Arabidopsis thaliana: one gene and its partner. The protein of the gene in region 1 purifies or fractionates together with the protein of each later gene. This does not show direct contact. Each region holds a gene or a part of one and is shown on either strand. Other genes may lie near its edges. The genes, in order: BAM2 and CPI1.

What was found.
Region 2: the proteins of BAM2 (region 1) and CPI1 purify together in Arabidopsis thaliana (affinity purification with western blotting, with the first as the bait; one study listed by BioGRID). This does not show direct contact.

The regions. Positions count from the first base shown.
Region 1 is NC_003074.8:18,415,934-18,419,862, forward strand, and holds the start of BAM2 (Leucine-rich receptor-like protein kinase family protein), read left to right. Parts: upstream 1-1,634; 5' UTR 1,635-1,807; coding exon 1,808-3,929. UniProt on the Arabidopsis thaliana protein: Necessary for male gametophyte development, as well as ovule specification and function. Involved in cell-cell communication process required during early anther development, and regulating cell division and differentiation to organize cell layers.
Region 2 is NC_003076.8:20,509,596-20,513,524, reverse strand, and holds the start of CPI1 (cyclopropyl isomerase), read right to left. Parts: upstream 1,859-3,929; 5' UTR 1,670-1,858; coding exon 1,663-1,669; intron 1,578-1,662; coding exon 1,447-1,577; exon of another isoform or gene 1,197-1,446; coding exon 1,113-1,196; intron 962-1,112; coding exon 920-961; intron 770-919; coding exon 659-769; intron 571-658; coding exon 379-570; intron 176-378; coding exon 78-175; intron 1-77. Other genes in the region: AT5G50370 (Adenylate kinase family protein), read left to right, coding at 2,894-3,014, 3,259-3,524, 3,612-3,779, 3,877-3,929. UniProt on the Arabidopsis thaliana protein: Converts pentacyclic cyclopropyl sterols to tetracyclic sterols.

The DNA of each region.
Region 1 (3,929 bases):
ACATGATTCAAGAGAAAGCAACAGTTCCTAAAGACTCAGTCATGTTTGTGTCTCTCCCAATTGATACAAAGACCAAAATTCAGCTTTGGTTCTTTTGTGTAAAAGTTCTCGAGATATGCTAATAAGATTAAACATAAAAACTCTCAAAAAGAGTATAAATTGAATTCTTTATGATTGTAGTAGCAAACAATAATTGTTAGGTTTAGTGCTATCATAATAATCTATTAGTCAGGTTAAATATATTCGATTTGGTACCAAATACGAAATCAAGCTTCAACAAACGAATCTGCAATACACACACACCCATCCAAAAGTATATCTTCGACATTTTCCCCAAAAAAGTATACATTTCCTAACACGTGCTTACCAATTCTTATCATTCGAAGTAAACCATTAAACAAGAAATGTTTTCATTATTATAAATTTTTCACTAATATAAGTTTATTATTTAGTGCAAGAAAGTGCGTTGCAGATGAAAACTTATTCTATTGATCCGGGTCCATAAAGAAGAAAACAAAAATTCACCTAATACGAGTACGACTTATTCTAGTGGCTACATATTTCCCTAATCATGTGACTAAAAATCTGCTTTCAAAATTTTGACATTCAGTATTTCTTTAGATCTATATCATTAAAAATTCATTTTTTTCTTTTGCATTTTGATTCCATATTTAATACAAGATTAAAAAAAAAAAAACTAATATGTTTGTTCACTGAGCAAACCATTATTGTTGATCAGTGAACTGTGGTAACTGGCAAAAGAAGCAAATGATTCGAAATCCTACTTTCTTACAAAATCAAATTGGATAATTTTGTGAGATAATAAAAAATCAGTATAAATAAAATAAAATACATGTCGGGAAACCATTATTGTTGATCAGTGAACTGTGGTAACTGGCAAAAGATGAAAATGATGCACATAGGACTGTGTTTAACTGACTTACTTCCACTAATCAAAAGTACGATCGTATCCCTACCCATCTCTCGAGGATCTTAACTGTTGCCGTGCGTCATCTCAAGGTTGTTCTCGTCATTATCAGTCGATCAGAGTACAGAGACCGGCTCTCTGGGTTTTGTCGATCATGCCATTGCCTTGGGGCTTGTTGTTGTGGTCCGTCCTAAGGATAGAAATGTTATTACAAAGCTTTTTAAGGGGTTCTTTGGTTAATTAAGTGTTTCGTTTTGCTTAAGAGAGGTTAAAGAAGCGGGTGTCTCAATAAGTTTTGGTAAGTTTGTGAATCCCCAGTGGTGGACTCCATCTTTTCCCGTCGAATTATAACATCAGGACCGTTCATTTCAACATCATCAATTAATTCATTATGGGGTTTATCTTTAAAACATCTTTTTGAATTTATGGTTCGCTTTGGTATTGCATTATTACACTTGTATACCTGTGTAATAAAGTGTTGGATTTTGTCAAGATTAGGTAACATCACGTTTCAAAACAACAAGGCTCCAAATTAATTAACATTTTCTTCATGTAATTATCGTTTTTGAATCCCTTCCTTTCTAATTCCATGTTTCATTAAATCCACCACATGCATATGTTTCTATATATGTTAAATAAACGACTTTTCAAGTTTTTAATTTGTGTTTTCTATTTTCAGAAAATTTATGTGAAATCAAAGTTTCTTAAAAATCTCCCTCCAAGTAAATTCCAAAATAAAATAAAAATAATACTTTTACAATATACAAATAAAACTCATAAAAAACACACACACAATCTTCATCTTCCTCACTTACTCTCACCCTTTTTAAAACCAAACCCTAACTTACACAGAAAGAGAAGAAAAAAAACAAAAAAAAAATGAAGCTTCTTCTTCTCCTCCTCCTCCTCCTTCTCCTCCACATTTCTCATTCCTTCACCGTCGCTAAACCAATCACCGAGCTCCACGCTCTTCTCTCACTCAAATCCTCCTTCACCATCGACGAACACTCACCTCTCCTGACCTCATGGAACCTTTCAACAACTTTCTGTTCATGGACCGGTGTCACGTGCGACGTCTCTCTCCGTCACGTGACCTCTCTCGACCTCTCAGGTCTTAACCTCTCCGGAACTCTCTCCTCCGACGTAGCTCATTTACCTCTGCTACAGAATCTATCACTCGCTGCTAATCAGATCTCAGGTCCTATTCCGCCGCAAATCTCCAATCTCTATGAGCTTCGTCACCTCAATCTCTCCAATAATGTCTTCAACGGTTCATTTCCCGATGAACTCTCCTCTGGATTGGTGAATCTCCGTGTTCTTGACTTATACAACAACAATTTAACCGGAGATTTACCGGTTTCACTCACTAATCTCACTCAGCTCCGTCATCTTCACCTCGGTGGGAATTACTTCTCCGGCAAAATCCCGGCGACGTACGGAACCTGGCCTGTTCTCGAATACTTAGCGGTTTCCGGTAACGAGCTAACCGGTAAAATCCCTCCGGAGATCGGAAACCTAACGACTCTTCGTGAACTTTACATCGGATATTACAACGCTTTTGAAAATGGTCTTCCACCGGAGATTGGAAATTTATCAGAGCTTGTTCGGTTCGACGCTGCTAATTGTGGTTTAACCGGAGAGATTCCACCGGAGATTGGGAAGCTTCAGAAGCTAGATACGTTGTTTCTTCAAGTAAACGCATTTACAGGGACAATAACTCAAGAGCTGGGATTGATTTCAAGCTTGAAATCGATGGATCTGTCTAACAATATGTTTACCGGCGAGATTCCGACGAGTTTTTCACAGCTGAAGAACTTAACGCTTTTGAATCTCTTCAGGAATAAGCTCTACGGTGCTATACCTGAGTTCATCGGTGAAATGCCGGAGCTTGAAGTGTTGCAGCTTTGGGAGAACAATTTCACTGGTAGTATTCCTCAGAAATTGGGGGAAAATGGTAGATTAGTGATTCTTGATCTCTCTTCGAACAAACTCACCGGAACTCTGCCGCCGAATATGTGTTCTGGTAACCGGTTAATGACGTTAATCACTCTTGGCAACTTCTTGTTTGGTTCAATACCGGATTCGCTTGGTAAATGTGAGTCTCTGACCCGGATCCGGATGGGTGAGAATTTCCTTAACGGGTCGATTCCAAAGGAGCTCTTCGGGTTACCTAAATTATCTCAAGTGGAGCTCCAAGACAATTACCTTACCGGAGAGTTGCCAATAAGCGGAGGAGGAGTCTCTGGTGACCTTGGTCAGATTAGTCTTTCTAATAACCAGCTCTCTGGTTCATTACCTGCAGCTATTGGAAACTTGTCCGGTGTTCAAAAACTACTTCTTGATGGTAACAAGTTCTCTGGTTCGATTCCTCCCGAGATTGGGAGGCTTCAGCAGCTATCTAAGTTGGATTTTAGCCACAATCTGTTCTCCGGTCGGATCGCACCGGAGATCAGTCGTTGTAAGCTGCTAACGTTTGTTGATCTTAGCCGTAATGAGCTCTCAGGTGATATTCCTAATGAACTCACAGGTATGAAGATCTTGAATTACTTGAATCTTTCAAGAAACCATCTCGTTGGTTCCATACCTGTGACGATAGCATCAATGCAGAGTTTGACATCGGTTGATTTCTCTTACAACAATCTCTCCGGTTTAGTTCCCAGCACTGGACAGTTTAGTTACTTCAATTACACATCGTTTGTGGGTAACTCTCATCTTTGTGGTCCGTATTTGGGTCCTTGCGGCAAAGGAACTCACCAGTCTCATGTCAAACCTTTATCTGCTACTACGAAACTGTTACTCGTCCTTGGATTGCTCTTTTGTTCGATGGTGTTTGCTATAGTGGCCATAATCAAAGCTCGGTCCTTGCGAAATGCGAGTGAAGCCAAGGCATGGAGATTGACTGCTTTCCAGAGGCTAGACTTCACTTGTGACGATGTCTTGGACTCTCTCAAGGAAGACAACATCATCGGTAAAGGCGGTGCTGGGATTGTCTACAAAGGCA
Region 2 (3,929 bases), on another chromosome or scaffold:
GTTTTGATATGCAACAGTCATGAAGGTGAAAAGATTCACTGCTTCTATGAGATGATAGAAAACTATGCTTTCTTTACCTGAAGAACATTGGGAAGCTCACAATGAAGTAAATGGCATAGAAAAGACATCCAACTCTGTACATGGCACTTCGGTCCACAAACTCATAGTAAGGAAACTGCACAAGTTTGAAAACAAAAACAGAACATATGAGCGGTTATTGTCAAGTGACTAGTTTCTAAACAAGATTCTAGAATGATTAAGTAGATAAACGTAGTCTTTAAGCAGACTATAAGAGGAATTTGTGATATATGATAAAACACCAAGTAGAGAGCTCTTTTTATAGGAAATTATCAAAGAAATGTAGACATCACAACGTACATTTGCGATAGCAATAGTCTCCAAGTATGCAATGAAATAAGAAAGCGCAAGTATCCATGCAGCCTCAAAACACCATTTCAGAGAATCTGGTAAATCAGCAGTGGAATGGCGTAGCCTCCGAAGAGTAATGTTCGATGCAACGTGGTAAAAGAGGAAGCAAACATGTGTTAGGAAGAATGTTGTGTGAGGCACCTGTTCAACACAAAACCCCTGCCATAAGCTCATGGAAACAAGAAAACTACTCAATAGAACAAATCTGCCGAGATAATGCTGTGCTTACATTATTCATTTTCCATGATGGAAAAGTATAGGACGCTCCAAGAACTTTAAAGAAATAGTGAGTCCAAAAGTAGTTTCCGACATAGCTGAAAACAATTATCCAGAGATTTGCCTGTGGTAAAAACATGTTCCAATCAGTACAACTATGGATGAGATCTTGAGAACTCTCACCAGTACTCAAGGAAGTTAAAACAAGTTCTAAAAATAGTTTGAAACTAGAACTGGCAAGCCAAAATGTCATGCACATAGAAAAAAAGCTTGCCTTAACCCAATAGCGGTCCTTCCAACATAAACTTCTGTCGGCCTGAAAGAATAATGCATATATTCTGAGTCCATATGGTAAGGAAAACAATAGAGATTTGCATTCAATTGGAAGCAAGTAGCTAGTAGACAAACAAGTATAGCACCACGAACACGTTAGCTCACAGTGAAAGCAAAAGTTGTCAAAAAGTAACCTTTCCAACGAGTAACATGGGTATAACGAAAGCAGGAACAGCTGAAACCAAAGCTAGAAGCAGATACTCCAACTCCGTGAATGTCTGCTAGTTTGCAAAGTAACTAACACTTATTAGTACTTCTTCAATACCACTTAAAAGACAACTTCATACAACAGTAAAATTTTCAGATCTCTAAAACACTGACATGGTAAACAATGAGACATCATTTCATAAACTTTGTTGATCTAATTTAGCAGATAAAAAAAAGTGAATAGCTACTTCAACTCTGTCTCATCGTCTCCTAAATACATCAGACACTTAAAAACAATGCTCATTTGATGATCGCATAGACCTCGTAAAGCTTGTAAGGAACAACGATGCCTAAACAGAGAGTGAGCCAAAAAGGAGTGTAGAAGAGGAAGAAGAGCTCTCCCCATCTCTTGCTCGGATTCGGTGCCAGCCACAAGCTCGGTGAAGAAGATCCTATCAAATGTAAATCAAAAAAATCAGGGAATGGGGACGAGAGATTCGAATCAGAAGAAGAAGAAGAGATCGGCGATAGTTTTACCTGACATAATCGCTCCGCCGGAGAATCTTAGAAACGTTGACTTGAGTAGTGTGAGTGAGTGAGCCGAGATTTTGTGTACGGGCGACCAAATAGATCCCAATCAAGCTGACGTGGCAGATGTACTCAGTGATGATGATTTTGACGAAAGCTAGATCCGCTCGCTCATCGTTCCTATTATTTTACCGTTTATTATGACATCACCTCTTTTTTCTACTTCTTTGTTGCTAAATTGTTATATTTGTTGTTCCCTTTTCCCAACATAAGAAGTGGGCCTATGTTAATTTAATTCTAAAATAATATGTAATCTAATTTTATTTTTTATTGTTAAATTTGATTTTAAAAAAATGTATATAGCAAATTGAAACTTTTGAGGTAAAGAGTTTATTTATATTTTTAGAATTTTCAAAAAGCAGATGTATGTGATCGTAAAAACGTTTACAATATATGTAAAGTTGGAAAAAAAAAAGCTTATATTATGTACTATTTTGAATTTTATAGTATTATTTTGCATTTTTTGGAAAACTCTTTTATTAATGTTAAGAATTTAGAAAAATACAAAAACTTATTAATAAATAAATATACAAAAATTATCAAGAAAGAAACTAATGATGTAGTATTCATTCATATCTTTAATAACCAAACATTGATGGAGTTTGGCTTTCAAAAAAAAAAAAGAAAAATGTGGGTTTTCAAGAGTTTAATTGTCTTATTGACGAAAAGTGAATGTGGTCTAGTGGTATACTGATATTCATAAGTCTACCATAAACTAGCAAAATCTTCAACCTCAGTACTTAATATCAAATTAAGTTTCTTAACACTAGTGTTAATTGGACAAATGACCGGTCCATCGTGCCTTAAAACCGAAAAAATGTGTTAGACTCTACTTATTCTATGTTTTCTAGTCCGCTTTTTTTGGTTCACTTGACCTAAAACATAATGGTTTGTTGGAAGTATTATATGATATTTGATTTTATGTAATTATGAAAAATGTGCGATATTAGATGTGTAAGAAGAAAGACTCGTTTTCAGAGTTGGGTGTGTCACCAACCCCAGGCAGGTTGTTGTTGTTCGAAGGGCAGGCCTTTGTAGTTGTTGGCACAGTTAAGGGTAAAATCGTAAAACGGTGAAAGAAAACATTGGAAGCATCGAATCCAATACACGCACTTCAAAAAGAGAACACAACTCCACCGGACCAAATCTAATTCTCTTGTAAGAGACGACGACGACGAACATGGCAACGAGCAGTGCGGCTTCTGTTGATATGGAAGATATTCAGACTGTTGATCTCATGTCTGAGCTTCTTCGCCGTATGAAATGTGCCTCTAAACCTGACAAACGTCTCGTTTTCATCGGTACAATCATCTCTTTCGTTACCTCTGAATCTTTCACTCAATCGGTACTTTAGGTTTGATCTCTGTGAAAATTGTGTAGCGAAAGTTCCGATTTTTATCTGTTTTAGTGTGTAAAAATTGCATTTTGCTGTTATCGTTAATGCTTTATCTGATGATCATAGCGAAGGGATTGTGAATTTGTGTTTTTTGGTTCAATAGAAAGGAAGAATTGAGTTTTGGTTCATGTATGATTTGGAATTTGCAGGTCCACCTGGTTCAGGGAAAGGTACACAGTCTCCGGTCATAAAGGATGAGTTTTGTTTGTGTCATTTGTCTACTGGTGACATGCTTAGAGCTGCTGTTGCTGCTAAGACTCCTCTTGGTGTGAAGGCAAAGGAAGCAATGGATAAGGGAGAGCTTGTTTCTGATGACTTGGTTGTTGGTATCATGGATGAAGCAATGAACAGACCCAAATGTCAGAAAGGTTTCATTCTTGATGGGTTCCCGCGGACTGTGACTCAAGCAGAGAAGGTTTCTGGTTCTTTTCTGTGGTTAGTTGTTTGTGTATCTGCTCGCTCTTGTAAATGTTCTGACTTTTTTTGTTTATAAATCTTGTAGCTTGATGAGATGCTTAATAGAAGGGGAGCTCAGATAGATAAGGTGCTTAATTTTGCGATCGATGATTCGGTTCTCGAAGAAAGAATTACTGGAAGGTGGATTCACCCTTCAAGTGGAAGAAGCTATCATACTAAATTCGCACCTCCTAAAGTTCCAGGAGTCGATGATGTAAGAAAAACCATCAAATTCTGATTCATCATTTTGACTTAGTAAATCGAGTTCTCTCTTGTGATTTGATCTCTGTATCAACTTCGTTGTTTGTTAGCTGACTGGAGAGCCATTGATTCAACGTAAAGATGACAATGCGGATGTTCTTAG